Linked DNA regions of Drosophila melanogaster. The protein of the gene in region 1 interacts with the protein of each later gene in a pairwise test. Each region holds a gene or a part of one and is shown on either strand. Other genes may lie near its edges. The genes, in order: CG31140, Pex14, CG12081 and CG9133.

The links.
Region 2: the proteins of CG31140 (region 1) and Pex14 interact in a two-hybrid assay, tested with the Drosophila melanogaster proteins (one large-scale study listed by BioGRID).
Region 3: the proteins of CG31140 (region 1) and CG12081 interact in a two-hybrid assay, tested with the Drosophila melanogaster proteins (one large-scale study listed by BioGRID).
Region 4: the proteins of CG31140 (region 1) and CG9133 interact in a two-hybrid assay, tested with the Drosophila melanogaster proteins (one large-scale study listed by BioGRID).

The regions. Positions count from the first base shown.
Region 1 is NT_033777.3:23,960,117-23,967,796, forward strand, and holds the start of CG31140 (uncharacterized protein), read left to right. Parts: upstream 1-3,063; 5' UTR 3,064-3,107; exon of another isoform or gene 3,108-3,117; intron 3,118-5,683; exon of another isoform or gene 5,684-5,688; 5' UTR 5,689-6,474; coding exon 6,475-6,586; intron 6,587-7,680. Other genes in the region: AP-1sigma (adaptor protein complex 1, sigma subunit), read left to right, coding at 782-826.
Region 2 is NT_037436.4:20,775,149-20,782,097, forward strand, and holds Pex14 (peroxin 14), read left to right. Parts: upstream 1-3,650; 5' UTR 3,651-3,784; coding exon 3,785-3,895; intron 3,896-3,954; coding exon 3,955-4,257; intron 4,258-4,529; coding exon 4,530-4,958; 3' UTR 4,959-5,230; downstream 5,231-6,949. Other genes in the region: pitslre, read left to right, coding at 1-905, 1,026-1,559; Pex16 (peroxin 16), read right to left, coding at 1,921-2,834, 2,895-3,006; Pcif1 (phosphorylated CTD-interacting factor 1), read right to left, coding at 6,510-6,949.
Region 3 is NC_004354.4:8,583,968-8,591,274, reverse strand, and holds CG12081 (uncharacterized protein), read right to left. Parts: upstream 2,465-7,307; 5' UTR 2,125-2,464; coding exon 913-2,124; 3' UTR 501-912; downstream 1-500. Other genes in the region: CG12065 (uncharacterized protein), read right to left, coding at 3,108-3,687, 3,750-4,017, 4,667-4,723, 5,030-5,289, 5,357-5,465, 6,295-6,432, 6,700-6,819, 7,020-7,307.
Region 4 is NT_037436.4:1,248,844-1,258,155, forward strand, and holds CG9133 (uncharacterized protein), read left to right. Parts: upstream 1-3,168; 5' UTR 3,169-3,323; coding exon of another isoform or gene 3,324-4,389; intron 4,390-4,460; coding exon of another isoform or gene 4,461-4,880; intron 4,881-5,009; exon of another isoform or gene 5,010-5,150; intron 5,151-5,232; coding exon of another isoform or gene 5,233-5,300; 5' UTR 5,301-5,381; coding exon 5,382-5,481; exon of another isoform or gene 5,482-5,523; coding exon of another isoform or gene 5,524-5,554; coding exon 5,555-6,201; intron 6,202-6,644; coding exon 6,645-6,896; 3' UTR 6,897-7,143; downstream 7,144-9,312. Other genes in the region: Sac1 phosphatase, read left to right, coding at 1-1,226; Bfc (booster for Crq), read left to right, coding at 2,034-2,789; CG9130 (uncharacterized protein), read left to right, coding at 3,324-4,389, 4,461-4,880, 5,233-5,300; tfc (triforce), read left to right, coding at 8,319-8,517.

The DNA.
Region 1 (7,680 bases):
ATCGCCACAGTATTGAACTTGCCATAGATGTTGCTGTGCAGTAAAACTAAAACAAAAACTAAAACCTTGTTTGCCATTTATAGTACAATTTTTAGCCTGTGTTTATTTTGTGACCGTAACTCTTGTAAGTCTCCTAACCCGATTTGTAGCAATATGTCGATCGTAGTTGGCTTGATTATTTTGCATGACCTTTGTAGATGAATTTCTAATGTTCAACTAAACATATTCTTGCCATACCATAAGCCATATATAAATGTGTAACCCATGTACCCTCTCTCTTGTTATTATTAACGCTTACCCTACCCGCCACTGCATATATCGATGTTAACACAACTACTACCACCACGAACAACCACCACAGGACTTCAATGAGTATCTCAACTAATCAATGAAAACAATAAATAAATACCAAGAAGAAAAGAAAACCCATCCCAAAGAAACAGTGTAAAGAACATAAAGTTATATTCCCGATCTGCAAAGAGTTAGTGGAGAGTCGATAGGTCAGATCAGTCAATCCTTCGTCCAGCTGTATATATATGTGTATATTGCCCAGCTTCTATTTCCCTGCCTTCCCCGCGCTGCGCTGTGATGTTCATCCATATAATATGCATTTCGTGTTTCCAAGTTGTGCCGTACATGAAAGAAAAGCAAAACAAGATCGAAATTGGTTTCTTTTTTGGACACATTCTACTTACACATACACCTACTACTCTTACTACCACTACTACTCTCTTTCCTTCTACTCTTCTCGTTCTTATTGTTCTTATTCTCTGTACTCCAGGACGAAGCCGTTGAGGGCACTTTAAGAGACATTGGACTCCTCTAAAGAACTAGAACACCCTAGAAATTATGTAGTTGATATTACACGCACACCCCGACACAATAACACACACAGTTACACCCCAGCGATAACGTGTGCTGCACTTGGCACTTTACAGCACTGCTCCATCCACTCCTCAACACTAGTGTGTGATTTGGCTGTTGTACAGCACTGAAGCGCTGAAAAAAAAATTATAAGCAAGAAGACGCCAAGCAGCGTGAGGCTCCAAAAAGCAATAATACTATATAGTAACATCAGAGCATCTGGTATGCGGTTTTTCATACACTCTATCTCGTAAATTTCACGCACAGACACAATAGATTCAGAAAAGTTCATGCAAAACAAGCCAACCTCACGTAGTTCCACCTGGGGTTCCTGAACTGAATTAATATTCCTCTTCCTATCTACATTTTATAATCGAAAGATCATTCCAATCAATCACCAAATGGGCAATAACTAATTTAGTGGGGAAATATATGCAATACTATTCTTACAATAGAAACATGTAAGCTTTAATGTTGATTAAATGAGAACGATATATAATTGAAAATTGTAATAATAACCGAATAAAAAAATCTAGTTTATCTATATCTACAAGTATATATATATATATATATGTTTATGTATGTGTGTTGTACGTTTTAGCCAAATTTTCTGTGTTTTGTAACTGAGAAAAACAAGTTAAAATAAAAACCAAGTATTTTTGAAAAAAAAATCCTAATTGTACTCGTATGCTATATGAAAATGGTAAGACCTGGTGAACCTCAGTTTTCTTTTTAGTGTCTTTGTTAAACGTTTAGTTTTGATTGTTGTCTTTGCTGTTGTTGTGACTGACCAATTTGACTGCTCTAAACTCTTGACGCCCACATTGTTCCACCTCCACTGATCTGATCTCTGAGCTCCACTCCCTCTAAACTGTCTATCTACCTATATGTCTGGCTTAGCGCACCCGTTTGGTGTCCTTTCGTTTTTAGTTGCTACTATATACCACCCTTTTTCATAGTCTTTTTCATAGTTAGCCCCCAGTATCGATACTTTTATTTGGTTTCCTTTTACCCCAAGCGCTGTAAAGTATAGTAACATGTAACTGAAGCTAAGCATTCTCCCTTTCCAGGATGAGACCCCGCAGAGTTTCTTCGACGATCACGGCCTGGGCTAAGTTGGCTCTATGCAAAAGTAACGCCAGAAAGGCATTATCTATATTGAACCCATTTAAAGTCGCCTTAATTGTATGTGTATTTAACGTAACCCAAAAGTATACCGGTTCTATTGTAATTTAACCACCCTGTGTCAGCATAAAAAACATTGTGTATAGAAGTGCTGTTAAACCTATTCCTAATTTCGCTTGGCAAATGCAATTTGCAATACATTTAATTTCACAAAAAAGCATCAATATCGGTTGCTCACACACGTTCATATTTGTAAAGATTAACTTAATGATAAGCAAAGTAAAGCGATGCGATTAATCGACGGTGTGCTCAACTCTATAGTTGTAAGTTAAAAGCCCTATAAATATATAAAAATTGCTGTATCCAAAGTAACCAATCAAAACTCTGTTTACTTTATGCATTCTTTGCTGCAAATAAAGATGGTATCGAGCGTGAGAGTTTTTATATTTCAGTACTACTCTTTTCTGTTGGGACAATAGTACGTCATGGTTATGACGCGGAATAAGCACAAGAAAGTAGGCAATGGTTTTTGAAAAGTTCGTTTTTATGAGATTTTACTAACTTAAATTATAAAATATAAGAAAATGCATTTTCTTACTGATTTTAATATTGAATGTAAAACTCATTTTTTTCAAAAAACCTACATTTCTAACCTTCAATTAAGCCTTAATTTAAAATAATGGTCGTTCTTTGGGCCAATTTCCTCTCTTAGCTTGGCCACATTTATTTTGGGGCCAAGTTGGCAGCTCGCCGACCAACAAATTGTTGATTTCATTTTTATTTGGGGAGGGGGGGTCGCCAGAGAGCATCCTGACTGCGAACGAGAGAGATAGAGAGCGACCTGGCTCTCTCCCTAACGGGAGCTCCCCAACATTTCCCCCTGTTTGTTGTTGGGCACGCACGCACACAGGAATTCGGCGAACTCAACACACTCAGCGTCGAGCGAGAGGGCGCGATTGGCCCCACGGCGTGTGCGAGCGGGACGCAGCGAGAGCGCCAGGCGGAGCAGCGGCGAAGGCAGCGATAAAGGCGCTGCGCCGCGAGAAAGTTGCAGACCCGTCCGCAGAGCGCACCATCGTCTTCAGCGGAGCACACACAGCAGCTAGGTGTGCTCTTCCGTACGTAACGGTTGCGGATTTTCACTGGATTTCCATTTTCACACAGCCAGCACACAGGAAAATTCTCACACACTCGCAGCGAAAAAGTGCATAAAACGCGTGGAAAACTCGGGGGAAATCGCGATGAAAACTTGCGAAAAACTCGCTTTAACTCGATTGCTGTGCGTGTGAAAATTTTCCATCCGGTGAAGGAAAAAAAATTCGAAAGTGCGGCTAGAAAAGAAAAACGAAGGAAAAAGCAGCAGCGCCAGCAGCAGCAGTAGCAGGCAGCATTAGTGGCAGTGTGAAAATCGAATGTGCAAAATTTTGCAGCTTCAAAAATGTATGGTACATAAAATTTCTCTCTCCAAAATCGCGAGTGTGTGTGTGCGCGTGAAAATTACGTTGTCATATGTGCCAAGTACCAAGAGTTTTCCAGGCCCCACTTTCCCATCCGAAGCCAAAGTTTTAACAAATTAACTCCTTCGTGTGATTAGCAATGAAAATGGAAAAAGACAAGGCCACACGCACTCCGTCCAGATACATATATATTCGCATATATATACCAATCAGACATATATATATATACATACATATAGATGTGGTGGCAAGGAATCAAGCCGCGCCAGCAAAAGAAAGAAAGAAAAAAATTCTCTATCTATTGCGATTTGCTCATGCGGCCCGAAAAGAGCGAAGCGCGCAGCATTGGGTGGGAAAAGTGGGTGGCAAGTCCAGAGGGGGAAAGGGGTGGGGGCGTCAGTGGGCTGGGTGGGCGCCACTACGGGTACGAAGTACGGCTGCTTTGTCTACAGTTGTAGAGTGTGTGTGTATACACAGCCTCTGAAATCTATATATCTCGCTTTTTTGGGCCCCCCATTAGCATCCATAATTTTCCGTTTTTTCTGCTTCTGCGCCTCTCCCAGCCCAAAACAAAACAATAATTTCCCTAAGAAAAGCAAAGCCGCAAAGTTTTCATCACCCAACCCCCAAATTGCCGCCCGTTCAACGCATTTGTTGCAAAAATATTGCTCGTTGTGATTTATCCTTAAACTTGGCCACTTTCTTTGAAACGCTCCGTCGTGGTGGAGTTGAGTTCGCGCGAGCGAGTGTGGTGGGTTCCGGAGTGCGCATGTCGCCAGGACATCGCCTGGTGGCCAGGATATATGGACACGGGAAACGGGTCCTGGACATTCCACGTCGTCAGGCTGGCTCCAAACTCACAGTTGCGGTGCAAATAATAGTACCGTCAAGTCCAAGTTCACAACTCATTTCTCAAGTTCGCAGTACTTCTACTTCAAGGGTTAACAACTTTTTTTTATAGAAAGTAACTGCGTATGTGGATTCCAGTTTTATAGATATTCCTTGATTCCATCTATAATCTGCTTTAAGTCATCATAACTACTATAATTTCGTGTAGGTGCTTTTCTGCGCACACAAACGATGCGTTAATATCAATATTCGATAGGATCGAATATCGAACTAAAATTTGAGGGTTTTAAACAATAGGAAACTCATATCTTGTTGTCACAATAGATAGTTATAGAATTATGAGCTTAGGACATAATTCGATGTAAAATCAATGCTAAAAACATGTCATATACACTAAATAAGGACCAAGATCCTTGTGCTTGAGGGCCATTATGCCGACCTTAACTTTGCGTATACACACAATGCGGATTTGTGCGCCTTCCGTTAGCTATCGTTTATTGTCATCAAGTTGAAAACTTCAAGTGTCGTTACCTTTGTTTCCGTCTATTATTAGGACCTGTATGATATAATATTTGACTGGATTGTCCTTGGCCATACCCGCTGGCGGTGGGCGGCCTTTGGCTGGGAGGGGGTGGTGCTGGGAAAGTGGGTGGCGGTGGTAATTGGTTCGTCGCAGAACATGTTGCATACTTGAGGGCGCCGCAGCTATGGAAATTGATAGAATCGCTTTGGGTGGGAGAAATTGAAGCAATGCAGTTTGCTCTAGCTCCCTCTCTCGCTTTCTGTGCCACTCTCTCTTTCTCCTTTTCCCTATGGTTCCCTTTCTCCTTTTCCCTGCGGTACACGCTGTTGATATCATATTTTTGCCACTTCTATTATTATATTGATGTCTACTACTTTTTTATGATGCTCCAAGAATACTGGGAACTTTTTTACCCAACTCACCACGCATGACGCGTGCCTTCTCTCTCGCGCAGCCCCATTTCTCGCTCTCTTTCTAGCTTTCTCTCTCTCTCTCTCGCATTTCCCTGTGGAAACTCCCGCTCTTGTGGATTTTATTATCGGGAAACGTTTTCCTTTCATTTTTTGGCTCTGCTGTTTTTTTCTTTTGGGGTGTGCGGCGCCCACGTATCAGCGCAGAAAAGCGGAAAGTGGAAAAGCAAAGGAACGAGCGAAGTCGAAGAAAAACATTTTCCGAGCTGCTGCTGCTGCTGCGACTGTTCGTTTTCGGTAGTAGTAAAGTGAAGACCGCCCGCCGAGTGAAGTGTGCCTACGTGTGTGTCCGCGACTGTGTGTGCAGTGCTATATACAAAATTCAATTGGAATTTATTTATTTCAAATGGCACACATAAATTCTAACAAGCAATTATCAAATTTATTTTGTTTAGTGCAGCGCCAGAAATTGTAAATAATTAACAGTTAAAAACTCACCACCAAAAGAAAGTTATAAACGAAAACGCTTAACCAAACCAAAGATGCATGAATATGAATCAAAGCAAATATGATACATAGCCAATATGTATATAGAAACTAGTAAGGATAAATAAAGTTCAAAGCGAGGAAAAACACCGATCCCGACAAGCAAATGTCCGGATAAGGGAGCCGCTACCTGACCAATGGATGAAAATGCAGCCGTCGTCGCCGTCACTTTCGCCGTCGTCACTATCGCATCGCTTTTGTCAGCAGCAACAGGAAAAGTCGGAAAAGCACCAGCAGTACCAGCAGCACCAGGAGCAGCAACAGCAGCAGAAGGAGCAGCAGGATCAGAAGGAGCAGTCCTGCCACGCCCACGCCAATCGAACGCCCTCGGTCGGTACGGCAGCGCTGGCTCAGCTGGCGTCGACGCCCGCACCGGCAGCAGCGGCCTAAATTGCCCAACCGCAAGAATCCCACTTCGAAATAGCCCATATACACAGCAGCAGGCGATATTGCAACTGCAACACATACTGCACTCGCAGCAGCCGCGAATACTGCTCATATAACTGCAACATCGAGAGACCTTTGCCGCTGCAAGCGCAACAGCAACTGCAGCTGCAACAGCATCCTCCAGCAGGACAACGCACAAAAAACCCACTACGCATAAGGCAACGGGGCATAAGGAGGCACAAGGAGGCGCAGGAGGATAGACCGGAAGCAGAAGGACAGGAAGTGGGGCGGGCTGCGGACACAGGCAAACAAAATGGCGGATGGTGGGCATTCATTCGTGAAGAAGACATTTCATAAGCCAACATACTGTCACCACTGCTCGGATCTGCTCTGGGGCCTCATCCAGCAGGGATATATCTGCGAAGGTAAGCACCGAGCTAGTACAAGTACTTTAAATATTTTCAATGAGATCACAGGATATCCCACATTTTTTTATTCATATTTATTGCGTAAGCAATTTGATCAGAAAGGCATATCTTACATTGGATTATCTCCTTCAAGATAATCGTTAAAACTGAATTTTCTATATGAAACTACATCTTTCGTCCATCAGTTCTCAATTCAGTCTCAACGGCCGCAATAGAAATAAGTTGTAATTAATGAGCACTAAACAGAACCGAGAAAACGCAGCACGCAAATCATCGAACATCTTCAACGCCAGCGGCAGATGTAAAAATACATTTCGTCTAGTTTTGAAAATACTTTTTAAATTGCCATAAACTTGGAATGAAAATGCGGCCGCTGATGATGTCGATGAGGATGAGGCAGTAGTGGGTGGCATAAACATGCACAGAATAGCGAAATATAGGAATCTTATCATGAAATGATTACTATTATTTTGGATAGTATATGTGAAGTGTTCAAAGCATCAGTAAAAAGATTTAATAACTTAATTGGGTGAATGTATATCTTGACATTTATCAGAAAAGGTTTGCTATTGATAAAATAATAAAGTAATGTAGATTATCCGAACCGAAAATAAAGCAATTGGTCTGTGCCTCGTCCGACAATTGCGTTTTCCCTGTGAAACTAAACAAGTTCTCCTCGTGCAGAGTGATCGGCAGACCCGACGTCATCGCCACATGACCAATGGGTCATCTACGATTTGTGTAGATTGTACGGATCGTGTAGATCGTATAGATTGTATAGATTGTCGATGTGCTCCGACAGTGGCAGCATCTAGATCTGGTGTGTAGTAGCATTGGCATAGGGGCGGCATCATCGTGCTATTTGCGGCCGATAAGTGTGCGCGTTTGAACTTTTCCAAATTGTGCGGCTGTTGGCCGTGTCCGCCGTGACGTGAGCGGAGCGCCAACGACGTCATAGACGGCTCCGATTCGCTGTGTAGATATGTATGGGCTCGTCTATATGTATGTACTATGTGCCATTGCCATGGAAATCTATGAAACAGAGCACGGTACGATTCGGACCGAAATGAATCGCGGCAGGAGCACCAAAT
Region 2 (6,949 bases), on another chromosome or scaffold:
GATCCCGTTCTAGAAGTCAAAGCAGCCTAGAGGATGAGGTAGATCGTCAAGACGTGGGGGCAGATGCCTCACCCAGCAGCAGCACACGCAGCGAGGAACGTGGAATGACCCAAGAGCAGCCGGAAGAGAAGCCCGAGGAGAAACTCAAAGAGAAACAGAAGTCTCTGGAGGAGCAAATTCCGTGCGATGACAAGGGCATTCCCCTGCCCAACTATTATCCCGGTGTGCAGGGCTGCCGGTCTGTGGAGGAATTCCAGTGTCTAAACCGCATCGAAGAGGGAACCTATGGAGTGGTATATCGAGCCAAGGACAAAAGAACCAATGAGATTGTGGCTCTTAAGCGTCTGAAAATGGAGAAGGAAAAGGAGGGATTTCCGATAACATCACTCAGGGAGATCAACACTCTTCTCAAGGGTCAGCACCCGAATATTGTGACCGTTCGCGAGATCGTGGTCGGATCCAACATGGATAAGATATTTATTGTGATGGACTATGTAGAACACGACCTGAAATCCCTGATGGAAACGATGAAAAATCGTAAGCAGAGCTTTTTCCCCGGAGAAGTCAAATGTCTGACGCAGCAGCTTCTGCGGGCGGTGGCCCACCTCCATGACAATTGGATATTGCATCGTGACCTGAAGACCTCCAATCTCCTCTTGTCCCACAAGGGCATTCTCAAGGTGGGTGATTTCGGATTGGCAAGGGAGTATGGATCGCCGATCAAGAAGTATACCTCACTTGTTGTCACTCTCTGGTATCGTGCACCCGAGCTCCTTCTCTGCTCGCCGGTTTACTCCACGCCCATAGACGTCTGGTCGGTAGGCTGCATTTTCGCCGAATTCTTGCAGATGCTGCCGCTCTTTCCGGGAAAATCTGAAATCGATGAGCTTAACAGGATCTTTAAGGTAAGCTGTGGTTGAGCATTAAAGTTTAGTTATTAAAATAAGCTTGTTGAACAATTGTTAGTATTAACTTTGAAATTCATTTGCCGAGAATGCTTATTGACTTTTGATTTATTGTTCTAGGAATTGGGAACTCCGAACGAGAAGATCTGGCCAGGATACACCGAGCTCCCAGCCGTGAAGAACATGTTGTCGCAGAACTCTCAGTTTACCGAGTATCCCGTCTCGCAACTGCGCAAGCACTTCCAGGAGAAGACCTCTGAAATGGGCTTGTCGCTGCTGCAGGGTCTGCTGACGTACGATCCGAAACAAAGACTGAGCGCCGACGCGGCACTAAAGCACGGCTTCTTCAAGGAGCTGCCATTGCCCATCGATCCATCCATGTTTCCCACCTGGCCGGCCAAGAGCGAGTTGGGAGCCCGCAAGGCGCAAGCCTCTTCCCCCAAACCGCCATCCGGTGGCTCGCAGTTCAAGCAACTAGGCCGCGACGAGCCCATCATCGTGGGACCGGGAAACAAGCTCTCATCTGGGATTATCACTGGCAACAAGAAGAGCCACGGAGCTGGTGGATCGTCGGCTAGCACGGGATTTGTCCTGAACGCTGGAATAACGCAGCGCCAGTTGGCCATGGGACCGGGATTCAGTCTGAAGTTCTGATTCTGTGTGTTTTAGCCCATTACGATTACGATTAATTGTTATGTATAGTTAGCGATGTAAGTGGAAAATTTCGTTTAATTGTATGTGTATAAATATTGTTCCATATATAATTTAAAAAGCCATACAAAGCAATTGGGATGTATAATCATTTTTCACCTCAAGAGCGGCAATGCCATGTGGGTGGGTCAATTCAAGGAATATGAAAGTTGGCTATAAACATATCGAAAATTACTCCATCGTTTTATTGTGCAAACAACTTTTCAAGGACCAAAACTCAACCCACCCTCAACACTCCGAATGCGTCCACACCTGTAACTTTAAAACTTAGCCTAGGGGAATACTAACGCTCTACCTGAAATGCCTAAGTGGACCACAGATAGAAGTAAGTGCTTTGCCACGTGGGAATGTAATCTTTAAGGGGTTTGGCAACCACCTTAGCAATGGGCACACTTGTGGCCACAAAGTCGAGGATCCGCTCCAGTCTGGATTTGGTGAAGCTGTCATAGAACGGCGATCGGACCAGGAAGTACATGATGTTTATGCATCGCCTGCTCAGCTCCAGTTTTTGTTGCTTGGACATTAGGTCGCGATGCTGGCGGTAGAGGTGAATGCTATACAAATCAATGGATAATGCTACCATATATTGCTTCCAACTTCTCCGGCCGAACAGCCCCATGGCGACCAGGTGGATTAGTGGCTTCGATATATACAGGTATTCTGCTTGCAGGAGTTTCCTCGGAATTTGCGTCTTCGCCGCTTCATTGTTGTCTATATGAAGCTTGAAGTCGCGGTATTGCAGGGGAGGAGCACCCTCCACTTTACGAATCACACGGCCAGATCGCTTCAATTGGAAGGTAATGGAGTGCTGGGACTGCAATAAATCGTTCGTGGAGGAGGCCACACCATCCCCCGAATTCTTCCTCTGTTTGGCCCTTCGATTCAGTGCGGCGATGGGCGGTGAGGTGATTATATCCGAGGTTGAGTGTTTCAAGATAAAGAAACGGCCCGCTGCCTTGAAGGCCTGTATTAGCGCTATCACCAGCCACTTGCCGGATTGACCGAAAAGCCGACGGGCTGATATCTCGATGAAAACCTCGCTATATTCGAGCGTCGTCAACGTGACCTTTAGACGGTAGCAAAGTTTCGATTGCAGGTGGATCACCGAATTCTCCTCGGAATTGCGTGCCTTTTCGATGATCCGGTCGTTGTAGAACACCAGCATGTTTGACAGTGTATATACCAGCTCACTGACCACATTTGATGAGGAAATGCGACCTGGAAGCCGGCCAATGAGATGAGTCTGTAGGCTCTATGTAAGCAAGGAGTTCACTTTACCTGCTATAAAGTAGGATACCCACTTGGCTGTGGTCTCAAAATCCCCCACCACGTCGGGGTTTTTGCCCACCCACGCCTCGTACGCCTTCAGCATGCCCTTCAGAGTGTCCATTATATCCGGAAAATATTGTCTGTTCCTCCAAATAATAAAAATAATGAGGTGTTTCGGTCTACAGGTAATCAAATCGGTGCAGTTGTGGTGTTCTGGCGTTTTGAACAAGGCGTTAGTGCTTTCATGCAACACAAAATAGAAGGTGACGCAAAATGAATACATATATGAATGCAAGCACGGAGAGCGTTGATTAAACGCTTTGGATTAATAAAATTGGTACAAAAATAAATACCAAATACCAGTGTCACGAGCTTATCGCCATTACACTTTCAAATTTTACCACATTGGTGCTTACACGTCATAGAAAAAGAAACTAATAATTAAGGACCCACAATTTGTAAGAACCACATTTGGCATATCTGCCACCAACCTTTCATAGCCCCTTTTAATGTTCTTCAATGTAAAGATTTGCTTGTTTAGTCTCGGCATCTTAATTCAAGTTTCCTGATTCTTTATACTGCAGTATATTTTTATTGGGTATATTATGCATTTAAAATTTTAGCCCAGGTACTATGTTCTTTATAATAGAAACATTTCTTACCAAATTTTTCGGTAAAAACATTTTTCCAAGTTCAAATCTTTATTACGTTACAAATTACCTTAACGTTATACATAATAACCCTAGAAACGCTAATGCATTAGTAATTTCGAGAGCAGCAAAGTCTTTGGTCACACTTTTGTTTTTGTGCACTTTGTAATCGAATTGCTCGTGAATTCGGATTCACTCCGTTTTCGTGTGTATTAGCTAGGCAAGATTGAATTAAGAGTCGATATACAGATGTCCAGCAACAACACGGACACTGGGGACACCACCGTCATGGCGACGGCTACCTCGGTGCAGAACGATGTCGAGGCCGGCGTAGATGAGCAATTGCCTCGAGAATCGCTGGTAATATTTGTTCAACCCCTTCAAGTTTGCCTAATCTATAATCCGACTATTCGCCGCAGATAACCACTGCAGTCAGTTTTCTACAAAACACCAAGGTGCGCCACACGACACTTATCCAGAAGCAGCAGTTCCTACGGTCCAAAGGTCTCACCGCTCACGAAATTCAGCTGGCCTGTGAACGGGCCGGCGTTTTCACCCAAGACCCCAACAAGCCCAATCCGAATCCGAACACCGTCATTAGCATTGGATCCCAATTGCACGCGCTGCAGCCGCAGCCGACTGTCTTGGGCCGGATCAGGGAAATCATCCATTCGGCAGCCCTGTTCAGCGGAGTCGTCTACGCAGTCTACATCTTCTGGAAGGTGAGATGCAGTGGGATCTCTATTTCGGGGTCTTTTAAAAAGATTTATTATATTTACTCCACCAACTCGAGTGCGAATTTAAAGATCGCCATCTTGTCTAAGGCTTAGATACATTACACATATATTTGATGACACTTTTACCAGACGACGTTGAATTTACTTAGTATTTAACACATTTTGTAAAAGTGTTAGGACGCATAAATAAGTTTTAAGTGGTCCACCAGTCCAAAGTCCATGATTGCTAATAACTTCTAAAACCCGTATAATTTCAGCAATACATTGCGCCCTACCTGTTCGGCAAGTCCAAGAAGAAGGCGGTCGATGAAGTCCTGGACGACATAGACAAGAAGGTAGAGACCCGCACCAACGACCTCAACAAGGAGATTTTGGCGGTCAGGGATCTGATCACCACACAGCAAAGGGAACACGCCCAGCAGCTGAACCGCGAATTTAGTAACTTCCGTAGCGATCTGGATGCCATTAAGGGCCTGCTTTTGAACCGAAAACAGTTCGCCGGCCCTGTGGCTCCGATCGCAGTGCCATCCATTCCCGCCTGGCAATTGGCCGGCTCACCGCATCACCATCACCGGCACAGCGGGTCGGACGACAACGAGAAGGGCGATGATGCTGGATCCGGGTCTGGCTCGTCGGAGACAGAGGTGGTCACCAAGAATAGTGACTCCAGCTTGGAGATCATGTAATGCAATCAGAATACGAGGCTGGCTATATAGACGTAGTATATAGTTACGCTGTAAATTGAGTTTCCCCGTTAAATGCCTTCAAGACTTTTGGTTTTTTTTCTTTGCGTTTATAGCATTTAAGGTTTCTTTATAGTCAACAGCTAATCCATATCCAAAAGTACATACACACACTCACATATACACACTTATGCGATACGATGTCTATACAATGTAATAATAAAAAGTTTACATAATAACAGGTTTGAATTGAAAGAAACTGTTTAATTAAGCGCAAAAATGCTTTGTGTAGTTTTTTGTTTATCGGTACATACGGGGTGGGGATAGCATATCGGTTTAGACAATAAATTTCGACTTAGACGATAATTGGATTCTAAAAATTTTGCCGAGTGCTACTTTCTATAAATTGGCTAAATTCCCTTAGGTTTGATTTAAGATTATGCCGGGCGGAGCACCTCGAGGTTTTGCCTACAAGCTCCTTGAAGACTCCACCCAGATCCTTAACGGATTTAAATTATTTATTTATTGTGCGGTGCCTAGTTATGGTTTTGTTTCAATTACAAATTTGGTTCTCTGCGCATTCCCTTCATTAAATTTCCTTCACTACTTACGTTAGTTATCGATTTGTACATACGATAATTTAGTATTCAAATAATTGTTTGCCATTTTCGTAAAAGTTAATGTATTCTAGTAAGTTAATATTCTCACAAACGATTGTTAAGGGCTTCACAGTTCACATGAATGTGTTCTTTATTTCTCACTTCGTTTTGTGAATGGACAAACCATTGCGAAATACCCTGAAACAAGGATAGAGAACAGTACCCCTACCCATACTATGTATGCATTATTAGAGTCTTTTGTTGGGTAGCTTGGCCCTTGTTTGTTGGGTACAATCGTATAAGATAAACAGCGGCCAGGCCGGCATTTTTATCAGCTATTTCAAATTAAATATAACATATTTACAATTAATTATACCTTGCGATGGGGGCAATACCAGCTGCCAAAGGCCGAGCACTGTGTACGTTTGAAAATTAAAGCTTTGACAAGAAGTACAAAAATGTGTACGTTTGAAAATTAAAGCTTTGACAAGAAGTACAAAAATGTGTAACAAAATATTTAGTGTTTTAAAGCCTGTTGTTTGACCCAAACGTAATTTACCATTCGGACAGGCATCATTTGATTAACACCGAGCGATGTGTAACGTTACAAATTAAGTTTTTAAAATAAGAAATTACAAAATATTGCGTAATATGTATATGCGTTTTCCTGGTTCCAACGATACATTTTGAAAACGGAATTGGATAGTTGTACTTTTTCGGAAAAACAGAAGTTGCCATCCCTTTGGCTTCCGCGTTTGTTTAAATTAAAGCGATTATCATCCGATTACACAAAACTAAACCTCAGAACTGGGAGCATGGCCGCTAGTGTGGCTTCAGGCCCAATTGGTTTTTTCTTCCTCAAATGTAACCCTAATTTATGCTAACAGAAAGTGCACAGATAGTATGGACAAAATAGAACCATGTGTGGATAGCAAGATCCCAAAAAGAATCAAATCTAGACGGCTGAGTTGATGACCGCTTGCGTGGATGCGGAACTACTGATGCTATTGGCCTGGCCAAATGCAGATCCCGCTCCAGCAGCCGATGTGGTAGTCGTTGCCGTAATGCTCACCGCTGCCGCTGTGGCAGATGTCACTCCATCCGGATAGCCGCCCGAAGCAGGAGCCGGTGAAAGAGACATCGTCGACGAGGAGGGCGAAGAGCAATCGCTTTGCACACTCATTGTGGGCGAGGCGGCCACCAAATTGCTGCTACTGCTGGTGTTGCTGATGGTCATCGGAAACTGTGGCGGCGGATTCCCGGTGGGCGTGTGCGGGGACAGTGGCGACATTGAGGACGATGTTGTGGTCAGCGACGGGCTGCTGCTTGTGCTCGTTGTAGTGGCTGTGGATGAGCTGTTGCTATTGACTCCACTGATCGTACAGGAGTTGGTTG
Region 3 (7,307 bases), on another chromosome or scaffold:
CCAAGTACTCGCTGTGTTCCGCACCTGGAGGCCTTGCGTTGCAACTACCACTCATAATAGGCAATTAGAGCGCTGCTGACCTTACTCTTACTGGCATTGCGTGCGAGGCTGTTGCTTTCAAGTGATTCGATGACTGTTTCCTGCCTGGAACACCGCGTTCAAGGGGAGTTACATCCACAATTACCATATATATATATATATGCATACACTGCCTAAAAGGAGATGATCTCTGTAAATTAGTTATAGAGATTTGTCACTAGTTTGACCGCAAAAATAGATTAGGTAATTCCAAGGTGAGATGAATACCTTGGCGGTTTGAAAGTGTCTAAATTAACGAAACGGCTGCCACATAGATCCTAATGCGAAAAGCAAATATTTAAACAGCCGACTCGTGCAAGTTTGGAGTTCGCAATGAACGGCCCACAGATTAATATAGTGTTAAGTTAACCAGCTATACAAAATTCAGCAAGAAGGCAAAGTAAACAAAACTGAATAATATGATTAATGAGTTTAAGATATTATATTCATTTTCTTATCGGGCATTTTGGCGAAAGGACGATTTATAAATGTTTCATCAACTATATTCTATACTCGCATAGTCATTATTATTGTGTATTATTTGAGGACGATTTATAAATGTTTCATGAACTATATTCTACATTCGCATGGTCATAATTATTGTGTATTATTTAGCAGCTATCAGAAGTACCAAAAGCAAGTTTCTAAAACTTTTGTAATTACTGGGGCTTCTCCCTCGTTCGCTCAGGTCCTCCATTCGTCATCTCTCCCGAAAGTGTTATTCGAGCTCCAATACAAAGAACCGGACTAGTGGCTCCGTGATTCAACACCATTTTTCCACCTCATTCCATTTTGTGGCAGTCGACTCCGGCTTATTCCTTACGGCTTTGGACGCTAGCCAGCTTGGTTGATGGGCCGGCTAATACTGTTCGGCTGTGTCAGCATCTGCAGGTCCGAGCGGAAGCTCCTTGGCAGCCCCGAGATGTCCAGCTGGTGCTTGAGCACCACCATGGTGGCCAGGGTTTTTAGAGTGGGCTCAAAGTCGAGCACATGCAGATCGCTGTAGTCGATAAGCGCCACACCGGGCGGAACAACTCCGCCAGCCGCTGCGGCTCCGCCCGTCTCTTGAGTGGGTGAAACAGCTGCCGGCGAGCTGGAGGAGCCGCTCCTTGGACTGGTGCCGCCAAACAGGAACATCCTAGTGCCCATCACAATGGCGCACTGTCTCCGACGCGCCGTCGGTGCCTTGCCGTTGGCCCGTATCAGGTTCCACAGCTTGGTGCGCGGATCGAAGGTGTACAGATCGTTGAAATGCTGATCCAACAGGCCATTATAGCCACCGAAGACATATATCAGCTTGTTGTAAACGAACATGCTGTGGCTGCGTCGACCAACGGGCACCTTACCGGCCGTGAACGGTCGATGCCACACCTTGGTCTTCATGTCCAGGTAGACGATCTCGTGACAGTAGGTCTCCTCCTGGCTGTGGTACGGACTGTGCTTATCGCCCCGCCCGCCGAAGATGTACATTCGCTCCTGTTCGTAGGCCACCGACGCATGAAAATCTCTGTAGCTGGGCGGCACGCCAAATGTCTGAACATAGCGCCACTCCATGGTGTCCAGATTAAGGGAATGCACATCGCTGCTGAACTCGTTGATCTCATCGACGAATCCACCGAAGATGTACATACTATTGCCAATGACACAGGCCGAGTGACCATCCCGCGCTCCGGGTAGACAGCCAGTGACCTGGGGCCTCGACCACTGCGCTGTCTTGGGATCGAAGCAGTAGAGGGTATTGCAGAGATTCTCGTCGTTGCGACCGCCCCAAATGTAGATGCGATCCTTGTAGGCCACCACCGTGTGTCCGTAGCGCTGGAAGGGCACCAGCGGATACTTGAGTGGCACACCCGCGTCGTCCAGCTGCTGGGGCACCAGAGTCCAGCGCATTGTGTGTGCATTCAGGGCGTGCACATCGATGGGCTCATTGTAGCGATAATCGTATCCGGTGCAGTAGCCACCAAAGCTGTAGATGAAGTCGCCCACGCCCACCGCTGCGTGATTGACCCGCTGTGGCCCACCGTCCAGATGCACCGTCCACAGCATGTCTTGGCCAACTGGATAAGCTGTGCGCTGTGGGCTGCGAGCCGTGTAGCACCAGTGTGCTGTGCGAGGAGACGGAGATCTTTGCTTTGGGCCCAAGCTGCCCGAGCAGCCCAAGCAGCCAAAACACACAAAGGAAAGCAAGTGCGCCGCAGTTGTCGCTCCTTTTGGGAGCGGGGGCAGGGTGGTGCGGGCGCAGGTGCGAGCAATTGAAGGCCACACAGGTATAAACACTGATACCAAGCGCTAGCTGCGCTCCGCTCTGCCAGTTTTGCCAGATGTTGAAACGAAACGAAACGGATCGAATTTTTGAACAACACAAGCACACAGAGTTGCGTGCGTGAGCGGACGCACGAAATAGCAGGGCTCCACTGGGTCGTGCTGTTATCGATATCGATAGTATAGATTTCTGATTGACAATTGCATTTAAAAAATGACAAATTCGAAAATCCAATGTATTTGCATTAAATATTTAGCTATTTTAGCGAAACAGTTGCAATGGCAATGTGCATTTACACTAGATTGATTTTTAAGATGAAGCTCCAAACAATGAATTAGAATATTCTAATGTCTTTGGTCAATTTACCTGAACTTTTTTTCACTCAATCACAAATTCTCATTGAATATTCTTAGTTTTTGCAAGCTTAGTTGCGATATTTATTTACTGTTGTATATATGTGTTTTTATATACGTCAAGTGTTTGTGTGTAAATTAGATTGATTGTAGTACAAAAGTTATAACAAAATAAATAACAAGAAATCATTTAATACAATATTACGCGAACATACATTATATATGATGCAATCTATGCACATTTTGGTTTACGAATAGTGGTCCCCATGTGTCTGGCCACAAAAAAATAAAGGGACGCCGCAGCGGGATTGGTACGAAAATTGGAGGCAAATCAAATGCTACGATTGCAGGGAAGGGGTGGGCGGGGGGGTTGGGGTGTAATGGAGGAAATGGGGTATTCGAAGCCCCGCCTCCTATACATTCGTGGGCGCGTCCATGCCGCAGATAACCGACTTAACCACCGACGCCGCCGAAATGGCAGCGAAGTTTTGCCACTTCCTGGTGGACGTGCCGTCCTTGTAGTCAGCGATGCCCTTCACCAGTATAAAGCTCTCTCTGCAATTGCCAATGATGCTGTCCAGCACGCTGCTCATCTCCACATCGGTGGCCAGTAGGCCGTACTTCCTGGCGAACTGGGTGCGCAGCTCGTCGCTCCTCACCAGATCCCTTCCGGATCCAATGGGACCCAGATGGAGTCGCAACCGATTGACACCGTCCACCTCGTCGGCGGCAATGGGATGGGCCACCTCGATCACCTCGTTATTTCCAATGTTCATAAACAGTTTGTCCGTCCGCGCGTCCGGCCGGTTGAAGTCGGCATCCGTCTTCTGGGCCAACGCCTGTTGGGCCTGGTTCAGGTAGTCCTCCCACGGCCGCTTCACCTGCATGTTGGCCTGCAGGCTCTCGGCGATCTGCTGCAGCGAATCGTTCACCGGGAAGTAGGTCTTCACGTCCTCGCCGCTCTTGTACAAGTACACGTACGGTTTCTCCTTGCTGTGAAGAGCCATACATGAATGCGATTGATAGATTGAAGATTTTATATTCGTGTAACTTACCTATTGCTGATCAGTGCCCGCTGTTTGTCCACATACGAGATGACCACATCGCCCAGTCGCACGTGCTTCTTATAGTCCGTGTAGTGGGGAACGCCACCGGCTACGCCCACGATGAAAACATAGTCGACCTTTTGGAATGTGCCCAACAGACGGGTTGTGGTATTGCCCGTCGCCGTCATCGCCTCCCGATTGCTGCCCACCGACGGGAGCTTGGTGCTCACGATCCTGTGCGCCCCGATATTGCCCAGAGTATACACATTCGATTCGCCTGTGGAGTAGAGAGAAAGTTTGGATCAATTGATTGGCTTACAGAAAGCGGTTTACGTTCAGGACATTGATAGATACATATATACCAAATTATACAAAGAGGAATGAAAAGAACATGAAATAAGGAACAAATCATATTTAAAAAAAGAAAAAGAAACACCAATTATAATTTTCCATACATCCCATATTCTTTTGCGATCAAAATACAAAACATAAACCAATTAATGAACCGAGTGTGTGACGGATCTAATCAATCCGTCTAATGACGTAGTTACATGTGTATATGTACAATATAAGGTCATGTATCCTGGGGCAATCCTTTACCATAACAACAAAACAAATGAAACAAAACAAAGCACCGACGACGATACAGCACAGACACACAAAGGACACGAAAGTTACAACAAATCGAATTATTCTAGGCCAAGTTCATAACTTTCTATCCAAGTTTATGGCAACTCATTCGCGTACAGTGCGCACTCGATACATGCGAACGCTCCATGTTCAATCGATTGCATTACTATTGTTATTTTTGATTCAAAGATGATTCTTTAGAGTATTAATGATCTAAAAAAAACTCATGAACTTGACCTTGGATATACATATGGGTGCTTCTGAGTTAAGGAGTGGATTCTGGACATTTAGCTTACCGAATCTTCGTTTCTTTTTGGACTTTCTGAGTGAGTTCGTTAGATTGGGATCGGAATCTGTTACATGGTTTGGTATTTTTCGATTCGGGGGAAAGGTGAAAGGTTTGTATTTAATTAATATCATTGCAGGCAAGTAAACATCAGCAAATTTGTATGCAAATTCATTCGTTTATGGCGAAATTTTCGTGGTGATGAGGATATATATATATTTTTTTTTTGTTTCCACAAAAGTCGAGGTATTTGGGATACAGAAGTGGAAAGAGAGAAACAGAGAAAAGACGGTTAGACGAGAGTTTGATTAGTAAGAGTTGAGGGAAATTCGATTCGCTATCGAACTGAACTGAACTGAACTGAACCACCTACCGACTGTGGTGTATCGGACGAATGTCTCCTTGTTCTCGAGCATTGCGTCCACGGCGAGCTTCTCGCAATATTGCGCCGTGATGATGGCAATGGTGGGCTGCTTGTTGGAGGCGATCGTGGGCATCTGCTTGACCACCTTAATCTCCTTGTCCTCGTGATGGATGCGAGTGTACGCATTGTACTCCATCGACTTGATCAGACCGCGCTCCTGCAGTGACTTGATCACCAGCAGCACATCCTGCTCGCTCCAGCCGTAATCCCTGCATTAAACAAAATGAATTAATTACATCTCAGGTCTAGACTTCAAACGGATCTTGATGTACTCACTTGGCCAGATCCTCGGGGGACACGGGATTGGGATATGCCTGCTCGATGAGCTCCAGCACCTTCTCCTGAGTCAACGGCGGTGATTCGAACTGCGATTCCTCGAGCGAAACTACGGGGATGAGAGCAAAGGAAACAACAAACACGATTAAAGCACAATGTCTGGGCAATTCCCGCTACCAATGGTTATACATTTAGCAAGGACTCTTCTGTTAGCGGGCAATGACATCTACTCTGAGCGGTGGGCGTGGCTGGTTAGGCGGTGTCTGTTAGTAAAGGAAACGCACAGGCACACGAGCACACACACACACAGTCAGACGGCTGGCAGGGCGGTCAATTAAGTGCTCAAGCAGCGCATTTTAATTGCAGACAGCAGACAAATTGGACACTCGAGATGTCAACTGCATTTTGAGGATAACTAAAGGGGTAGGGAATGCTTTCGGGAGTTTCAAACCAGCACAGGATGCGGAAGACAACAGCACAAGTAGAAAGACCAAAATTGCAGGGTATTATTTTTTCCGACAGATTTCCAAGTGTAGATTCACCACCTAGCTGAATTAGCAATGGAAACTCATGTGGCATCCTTGTGGATTTGGAGCAGTAACTGCAGAGCATTTGACACTAGCAATTTTATTTTATTTTATTTCGCTTTTTTACATATCCGTTCTTTGTTTTTCAATACTCTGAAGTGCACAACACTTTTTGTGTACATATTTAATGCGTTCTGTTTTTTTTTTTAGTGAGTTTTTAGTGCGTGCATTAGTACGAAAAGGAGAAACGAAATAAAAAAACGAACGAACAACAGGAAAGGCGGCGAGGAAATGTGCAACGAAGCGGATACAAAACGAAGTTCGTTGAGCGGATTGGATTAGATGATGATTAGTTGTGGGGAGCACTGGAGCAGTGGGCCATTGGAATCGGGATTCATTTCCGCCGGGCGCTCAGCTGCTCGGTGTACATGTCCAGCCAAATGGCCTTCATCAGATTGTCGCCGTCACCTGTCTTTCGCTGCGCCATCAGCGCCTCCTCGAACTTTCGGTTGCAGTCGCCGTAGCAGTAGATGATGTACCCATCCCGGGCTGATATCCAAACAAATAGAAATAACCACCCGCACAGCCCAGAGGATAGATGGAGCCATGTAGTTCAGATGAAAAGTCAATTTCGCATACTACAATCGACTCGGAAAGTTAAGTAAGACATGGAATTTGATATTCACCGAGCAAAAATGCATAAAAATAGGCTACTCACAATATGCAGTGGCATAAATTTGATTCAAATGGTACAATAACTCGAATATCAAGTTCCCTCTTATTACATCCGCATAGAAAGGAATAGGGTATACTCACGTGGTCGCGAGGGTGGTGCGGATGTCTCCTCCAGGATGCGCAGCTCAATCTCGATCGACTGGATCTCCGAGTATCCGTGCTGCAGGAGCTTCATTATCTTCTTGATGAAGCCCACGTAGTCTGTAAAGAGAAATAAAAAGCAAATCAAGCAAACCTAAAACTTCTCATAACCGCCTTCTTTACTTTGATAAGAAGTTCTGGATTTTCTTATCATATTTAATACAAGTAAACCATAAACCATATGTATACATTTAATAGAGGCTTGAAACCATTGGTTCTACTATCAAACCACAACTGCTTTCAAATCAATTCAGACCCACCTCTGGGAAAGTCCTGCGGACTGACCAGCTCCTTGAAGAAGTCCTGGGCTATGTGCGCCTGCTTCTCCTCGTTGGTCAGCCAGTCGCGGAACCAGAAGCGCAGGGTGCGCGACTCCTGCGAATGCTTGCCCGTATTGGCGCTGACCAGAAAGACGCGGAATTCCAGCGATAGCGCTGCCGCCTTGCTGGCGCTCTTCTGTCCGGCGACCGTGTCCTTGTTAATGATGATGCCCGTATGATCACCGCCGGCGACATGAACGCGATCATTGATCTCATCGACCAGTTTGC
Region 4 (9,312 bases), on another chromosome or scaffold:
AGCTGCCACTCGTCCTGGGCTTCGTGTCTATCAACCAGGTGCAGATCAACGGGCAGACATTCTTCTGGAGCATCATCACCAGGCGTTCCGTGCAGCGGGCGGGCACACGGCTCTTCTGCCGAGGCAGCGACGAGCAGGGCCATGTTGCGAACTTCGTAGAGACCGAGCAAATAGTGGAGTTCAACGGGCAGCTGACTGGATTCGTGCAGACACGAGGCAGCATGCCCTTCCACTGGCACCAGCTGCCCAATTTGCGCTATAAGCCACGACCCGTTCTGGTGCCGGGCAAGGATCATTTGGCCGCCTGCGGGCTCCACTTTAAGGAACAGATCCGGCTGTATGGCAACAATGTGGCTGTGAATCTAGTGGATCACAAAGGTGCCGAAGGCGAGCTCGAGGCGACCTATGCCCGCCTGGTTCGAGAAATGGGAAATCCACAAGTGCGATACGAGTCTTTCGACTTCCACAGCGAGTGCCGTAAGATGCGCTGGGACCGGCTGAACATACTCATCGATCGCCTCGCCCATGAGCAGGATCAGTTCGGTGTCTATCATGTCTTCGACGACGGCAAATTGGTGTCCACGCAGACTGGTGTCTTCCGAACGAATTGTATCGACTGTCTCGATAGGACGAACGTCGTGCAGAGCATGCTGGCCCGCAGGTCCCTCACTGCGGTGCTCCAGAAGCTGGGAGTGCTTCATGTGGGCCAGAAAGTGGAACATGCCTCCGACATTTTCGAGAGCATTTTCAAGGGCGTGTGGGCGGACAACGCGGATCTGGTGTCGCTACAATATTCCGGAACGTGTGCGCTCAAGACCGACTTCACCAGGACGGGCAAGAGGACCAAGTCTGGTGCCATGCAGGACGGCAAGAACTCGCTGATGCGCTACTATCTGAACAACTTCGCCGATGGCCAGCGGCAAGACAGCATCGATCTTTTCCTTGGAAAGTATCTGGTCAACGACAACGAGGGCGGTGCCGTGCCATCGCCGCTGGAGTCGAAGCATGGCTGGCGGTTCTTCACCTTCCCCTCGGTGCTGCTTGTGGCTGTGGCCATGTTCATGATCACGATGACCTATCCGGCCGAGTTTAACACGGAGAACCTGCTGTTCATGCTCTTCTGGGGCGCAATGATCGCTGTCAGTGCCACGGGCATCCTGCACTACGGCGTCGAGTTCGTGCAGTGGCCGCGGCTTTTTCCGCCCATCTCCTTTCGAGACCCATGACGTTAGTGTCGTCTAGCAGAGTCACTGGGAACTACCTCTGCAGCTAAACTGTCCCATTGCTCCGAGAAAGAACAATTGTAAACCAATTCTGTAATCGATTCGACTTCCTCTCAATTTCTGTTTTGTTTTATTCTGTTTTTGTTTAGTCTTAAAGCCCCCCCCAGTCCATTCCCTTCTGCAACTTGTTAGTCATTATATACACAGATCACTTACACTTAGGCGAGCTTCAGGCGGCTGGAAAAGGGGAATGATTGGGGTTTCGATCGGGAAGAAGTGGAGTTGTGAAGGCGCCGCTTATTAACTGCGATTAACTGCAATGTAGATCAATCACTTTTGTAGAACCATTTAATGACATTAAATAAAGTATTTTACGCATTGCTAGAAAACCTCAGACCGGCGTCTTTCTATCTACTTGTGGAGGTGAAATGTAATTAATGATATGGGTATATGGCGTTTATGACAACCATAAAAGATGGCCAGTAAAGGTTAAGAGTACAGGTTACCCAGAGGGTGTTAATCATATAAAGAATGTCATTGTTGATATTTTAGTAGGAATGCAGAGCTCTTAGCTTTTTATTTATATATTTTGAATCGTAGGCAGGCCTTTTACATTCAGTCGCATAGATCCATTTCGAAAATCAGTCTTTCCTTTTCGGCACGTCGTCAAAATCTGAATTCAAAATTCAACATATTTATTTTTCGTCAAAATTAGGTTTCAGTGACTGAAAATTTCTAAAAACGTTTTCAACACATAACAAATTCTTTGGTATAGTAATTTTGTCAAATTTCTAGTTTTTAAGCTTTTATATGAGAATGGACAAGTCGGAGAAACGCTCTAATCTTGCTGATAACTTCCTGTATATGTTGGAGTTCATGGTGGACGATCTGCTGATCACTCGTCCCAACCTCTGCGCTCCGGAGGAGTATCCCACTTGCACGGAGATCACGTTCCGTTCGGTTTTCCTGAACATCCGCGATCGGGAGAACGGAAGCTGTGTCAACCCCTGTTCGCCCAAGTGCGGCAAGTGCACCCTCTTCACGCTGGAATCGCCGATCACGGACGAGGACGTGATGCACATTCACGTTTACAAGAAGCGCACGGAGAGCTGCAAGTTCCTGCTCGGGCTGACCGAGCTGCCGATGAAGCCGATCTTCGATAGGGTGAAGAAGGAGTTCTATTCACAGAACATAAACTGGGAGAGTAACGTCGAGTCCCATTTGTCGCGAATGCCCAAGCTGAGGGGCCCCTGCAAGAAGGCCAATGACTGTGTGTGCTACGAGAGGAATAGGGAGCGGCGCGAACAGTGGTGTCCCACCTCAGAGCTGACCAAGCGGATGCTGCCGCTCTTCAACCTCTGCAAAATGCAGACGGGCAATATAGTGCTGATCCTGAGACTGGTGTGCAATGGGCCCTCTGTGGTATCCTCCTTCCCCGTCCAGAGACCAGTGTGCAAGGATCCCTGCAACTGTTGCTGTCCTTGCCCGCCCACTTGGCCTGCTCCCTGTTCGTCGCCATTCGATCCCTGCGATCCTTGCAAGACCGTGCCAGCCAAGAAGACATGAGTAGGAAATGCAGCTGCGAGCCTTTATATTCCGTACTCATTTAGTTGCCATAAGCATTTTTATTGTTTGACAAGGGATGCGCCTAGCAACTGATAATCATTCGCATATCTTAACTATAAATAAAGTATTTGAATAATTTTTATACCAATTCTGGTGTTTCAGTGACTTGAGGAGGCTATTGTCCATTATAATATAATTTAATATTAAAATTTATATATATGTTAGAAATAAGACCTTACTAGGCATTTTAGGCGTAATAAAATCTACATACAGACAGACTCATCTGCCTAAAAGACAATCTTAATATCGAAAATCAAGGAATCAAGTTTTCAAAATTCATCCGATTCCAGTAGCCCTCGCAAATCCAGTCGGTTTAGCAGTTCGAACACCACAGTCTCCCCGTCTGGACGGCCATTCAAAATCAGAATCTAAATTCAAATTTACTCACAAAATTTTTGGAAGTGCGAGTGTTCGGGCATATAAATTTCTAGTTTCGACAAAACAAAAGCCTAGCCAAAATTATTTCCTTTGAAAATGGACAAGTCTGATAAAACTGAGAAAACTGAGAAATCCGATAAGTCTGAGAAGCCAGAGAAACCTCCCAAGATTGCAGGAAACTTCCTCTACATGTTCGAGTTCGTAGTGGACGATCTGCTGATCACACGCCAGAATCTTTGCGCTCCGGAGGAGTATCCAACCTGCACAGAGATCACGTTCCGCTCGTCGGTTTACGTGAATCTCTGCGATCGGGAGGTGGGCACGTGTGTTAACCCCTGTTCGCCCAAGTGCGGCAAGTGCGCCCTCTTCACTCTGGACTCCCCCATTACGGACAAGGATGTGCTGCAGGTGCATGTCTATAAGAAGCGCACGGAGAGCTGCAAGTTCCTGATAGGACTGTCGGAGCTAAAGGTGAAGCCCATCTTCGACAGGGTGAAGGAGTCCTTTGACATCGAGAATCCTGACTGGGAAGACGCCATGCTGGGGCACATCGCCCAGCTGCCCAAGATGAAGGGTCCCACCAGCAAGGGCCTCCTGGACAACTGTGCCTGCTACGAGAAGCTGAACGAACGTCACGAGCAGTGGTGTCCCACATCGGAGTTGTCCAAGCGACTGCTGCCCCTCTTCAATCTCTGCAAGATGCAGACTGGCAACATAGTGCTGATCCTTAGATTGGTGTGCAATGGTCCGACCATTGTGTCCACGTTCCCCTTCAGCAAGGTCTGCTCCCGCAATCCCAAGTGCCCGGAGCCCTGCTGCGGTCCTTGTGGCCCCTGTGGTCCCTGCGGCCCCTGCCCACCACCTCCCAGCTGCGGCTCGTGCCCACCGCCTCCTAGCTGTGGCCCACCATGTCCTCCACCCTGCGACCCCTGCGATCCGTGCGATCCCTGCAGTCCCTGCTGTGGCGGCGGAACTGCCACCGGCGGGCCCATGGATAAGAAGGGCTGCAAGGGCTCGTGTGCCCAGCCTCCTTGTCGTCGCTGTACAATGGTGGATCCTTGTGCCAAGCGAGTTGAGCCTCCGGCAAAGTGCCTCAGGTACTACTCGTGCAATCTGGACAAGCTCTGTCCCTGTGACTACTGCGAGGACGAGTTCGATAGAGGTGACTATAATCTATCATCAGCATATATAAATGCTTCCTTTTAATGATGTAATGTATATACTTCTTCCCAGAATGCCCCACTGTTCCCACAAAGCGTTGCAATCTCTCGCCGATCGAACAAAAGCTGCAGAAATGCGGTCCCTGCGGCGGAATTCCACCGTACCCACGCTTCATCCAGGAGAAGATGCAGGCCGAGCTCTTGAACAAACCGGAAAAGGATCCCAAGAAGGACAAGGATGGCAAAAAGGGTGGCAAGGATGGAAAGGACGCAAAGGATGGAAAGGGTGGCAAGGACGACAAGGGCAAGAAGAAGCGTCAGGCTGGAGGTGCTGTTTGCCGCGTAGGAGACGAGAATAGTCCGTCCGCCGTCTACGAAGACTGCGATCCTGTCTGCGCAGGAGTCCTCCAGGCGACCAAGAAAATTCGGTACAAGGAGCCCACTGTCAGGTGCAACGGACGGGAGGAGGAGTACGAAATGGCCTGTGATGAAGGTGAGCTCATATATGTATGTATTTAGAAAACGATTTCAACTGGGATTTCGAGAATGCCAAGTAGGCTTCGAAATGAACAACAACACAAACGTCTCGTAACTCCAGCGAAACATTTAGTAACATCTAGTAGTCGGGGTGTAGAAGATCACTCGTTTAGCATTTGTTTTATACATTCGAACGGGAAATGTTGTCTGCCGCACAAAATACAGAAAAATAAAATCTTTCGTTGTTGTTACCCGAGTTTTGGATGGAAATTAAAACAGAGAATCAGTACGTCCGAACTATTTTTTTTCCTATCAAGTTAAAAAATTTTCGAAGCGATCCACTAACCCAAATTCAATTTTCATTTCAGCGCGAAAACGAGCTGTGCGGAAATTGCGCCACTTACTGGTGAAGTACAATATCCAAATTGAGAATTGAAGGCTTTCGGAATTGAGATTTCAGCTTGAGCCTAGTGAATAATTGTATTGACTTACACACTCAATCACTCAACCGCACAACATGGCCAAGAAGAGGGGAAGAAAGGGCAAGAAGGGCAAGAAGCCAAAGGTCGACTGCAAGTTCAAGATCACCAATGAGATGCTCAAGCCCATGAACGAGAGTAAGTACACGCGGATCCCTGCACCGAAGCTCGGGCTTAAGGATGATTCATCCCTTCCAATTGGTATCCTCAGATGTGGACGACTGTGATGGCTGCTGTCAGTGCGCCTGCGATTGCGACTGCAGTCCGGAGTTGGCTCCCTGCTTCATCCAGCCGACCAAGCCGGATCCGGGTCCGGAGGCGTACGACGAGTTCGAGGCCTGCCTCAATGGCAGCGGTCTGACCATACGCGTACTCAAGAACACCCACAAGGTGGAGAGCGTGATGGATGGCAGCGAGACTGCGCCCAATCTGGGCGCAGGCGATGATCCCTGCTATCGCGATGACCCCAATGACTGCGAGCCCGCAAAGGAGTCCTGCCTGCACGATATGCTCCAGCGCAGCTCCTTCGCTCGCAACCACATCAAGCGCCGGACCGGCGGCCGCATCATCAACCACCCGAACATCCCCAAGGTGCGAGCCAATATCAAGTACTCTGGGAACGATGCCTGCGAGACCGACAACTACTACGTGCCCTTCTCGAAGATCAAGGAGGCCTGCGACTTCCAGGAGGCCAAGGTCGACTGCTACCGCCAGCGACTCTGCGGCGGATCCGATCCCATCGTGCCCGCGCACTGTCCCGTCCAGAACCAGCGATCATGTTGCATGCAGGTCGAGCGGAAGGACATCATGGACACCATGAAGGGTGTCAATTTGGACACAAGGCGCAAGGGTATCGAGGTGAGTCCATCCTATATTCATTTGCGCAGCACTGAGTGGCCTAAGGAAATCCATATTTCAAGAATGTTCGATCTTAAATCATTAACCACAATCGCCGATCGCCTCCGCATTCCATTTTTTAAGTTCGCCAGTTACGTGTGCGGATGCGGAATGTGGATCGATTGGTAGTCCGTGACTTTGCCCCCCTAAACGTTGTTGCAGGTGGTGCAACTATGCCACTTCTGCCACTTCGGGAAGGCTTTCGATTGCCTCAATTGTGGGGCAGTTGCGTAACATCTGCCAGCTCCAAGTGTGGAGCACTCTTTTCAGTTTGCGGTGGCAATCCGCTACAGCTTTTTTATTTATGGTAATTTCTGCGAAAGATGCAACGCGTTGCATTGAGACTATTTTGGTTAGCTGTTGCATAGTATCTAAAAAGATTTGTCGCTTTTCTTATTTTTCAGGTTTGCTACAAGACCTGCGAGGAGACCGACAGCGACGTGTTCCTAGTAAAACTGGGAAGTAAGGCCAAGTCGCAGCACAAGAAGAATACCATCGAGATCGAGCTGCGGACGCCCAAGCAGCCCGTAACCCTTCCGATCAGCAAGGTGACCACGGAGACCTATGTTTCCGAGGAGATGCTAACCGGTGGCAAGAAGGGGAAGAAGGGCAAGAAGGGCAAGGGCAAGAAGGGCAAGGGCAAGAAGAAGAAGTAGACCAAGAGATCCGTAGGCGGATCCCATTCCCATCGACCGGACTTGACGCTTACCCTTTCGGAACACATCCTTTGGCATTTTGGAAGCGACTCTTTGAAAATTCACAGCAGCAATTATTGAAATTTGGCTCTGGTACTAACCCATTCATATTAACCCGTCCAGTAAGATGCACGAACACTCACTTTTTCGACTAGTTACGTAAATGTATGCTTTTGATTGAATTAAAATTAAGAAAAAAAAAAACAATAATTCTAGTCCCATTTATGATTAGTTGATCTGATCCCTCACTGATTGATCTGATGTAGATACCCTAACCCGCAGTAATCTGCTTGCAAGTGTATATGCCCATCTTCATTAAGGGCACTTAACTGCCCAGTCAAGGCCGCGGAGGTGTTTCATCTGCAATTGAGGCGGGTCTAAAAATAGCCGACAAAACCAATTCGCGATGCAGAACTCTGATGCCGATCCGATCCGATCCGACCATCTTCATCTATTGCACACCTGTAATTAAAAGCCAGAAATCTTCGCGGGAGGGAGCATCGAGGAGGAGGAAAAGCCGCCGTTGGATGCAGCGGCAGCTTAGCGGTTTGGTCACTTTGCAGTGACTATACTATACGGAGAGGGAGAGATCCGAGAGACCAGAGATCGCAGATCGGGCCAGCTGACCGATCCGATCGGTGGCTCGGAGAGGAGTCGAGCGAGGAACTCGTTTTAGTCGCGTTCAAACGCTTTAGTCTGTAAGTTAACACGGCGAGTGCGAACGCAGGAAAGAGTCGAGAAATCGTGAAGCAGTGCCCCAGCCTAGATGTTAACCATTCAGCGGATCGGCCCCGAATGTGAGCAACTTCTGAGATCGGTCCACGACAGACCACAAAACCAGTGAGGAGAGACCATCCGCTCCAGTTCGCTCGATCCAATTCAATTTCTGCCTCTCGCCGCGAAAGCGGAAAGAAAGTGAATTGAGTGGAGTAGATTTGGGCGATTACTTAATCCGCGTTCGCCTCCACGACCAGGCATCGGACGAACACCGGGCTCCCAGTCCGAATTCGAGGGCGCAAATTAATGGCCCTCGTTTAGAGACTCAACCCGCCCCATCCAGCGTTGACAGTTGGGCGGAGAAAAGCATAGTATTTGAATATTAAAAACTAAATCCGAGAGATACCACAACATTTCCCCAAAACTTTGATAATTTAGAAAGCGAAGCTGCATACCAAATAGGCCCCCGATCTAGAGACACCCGAAAGTCCAACCTCCGACGGTCAGTTGGCTTTCAGTTCCAGCTCGAGATCGCAGGTTATAGCATACCACAGCCGACTGGCTTTCCCCGGTTTTCGGTTACGTGCATCCGAGAGGTCTCCGCCAAGTGCAGTTGCAACTTTTACTGGTGTCTAAGATTCGCGTGAAGAGTGCAAATCGGTGATCATGATCCGCCCCACACTTATCGTAGTGCTCATCTCACTGGCCAGTGTCGATTCCGGCCACAACTCACCCGTGACCACCATCCCGGTGGCCGAGCCCATCAGCCAGGTGCCCCACGGCTTCCAACTCGGCCAAAACAATCACATCAGCAGCAGCAGCAACATTAGCCGGAGTGGAGGCGGAAATGGCCGTGATAAGAGAGGTAAGTACTTGGCCCCTTTGAGCCACTTTTCCAAGTGCCCCCATTGTGGCCATCCGTGTCAGGGTCGGAGCCTCTCGGTCTCTGTGATGGACATCTTCGAGGGGCCCTCTCGATTGGTTCGCAAATACTAACGATTGCTCTTGGCCGCACTGCTTTGAATCGAGCCTTTTCCTAATGTGGTCGATGTTGGTGGGCATTTCAAGGGTTCTGCGCTTAAGGAATGCCCCGTCAATCACGCGATTAAAAACATAAGTAACATATGAAGTTCTATGCAAAAATGCATTCGCCAAGGTTTATTTTGAAAATCTTTCAAATCGAGTTATTTGTTATTAATAGTACAGATCATAATAGAATTCATAATGAAAGAGAATCGGATTTGCATAAAATATCTCCACACATTTATCGCTACTTTTTCTGCATAATACTTAAAATTCGCTAGCTCATCGTGCGATTTTCACATATGTAGTACAACAAAAAAAAAGCAGATTTCGGCCAAAAACGTACTGGCTGTTATTAAAATGCTAATTGTGTTTCCCCTGCACCATTTGGCATTTAAATATTTTAGAATTCATAAGCATATGACTGCTGAGCAGCGAATCCCAATCAAATAGATTCACTCCGGAGTCCAACTTTTGCACCGGCTTAATCTATCTACTAATTTTAAATATATATGTATATATATAGTTTTTGTGGAGGTGCGTTCAATGCCCATCTTCTAGATGCATAAATGTTCACAAGAAATCCAGTTTAAATAATATTTTTCTCCACTTTTTTGCTGCGCTGCTTGACTTTGTT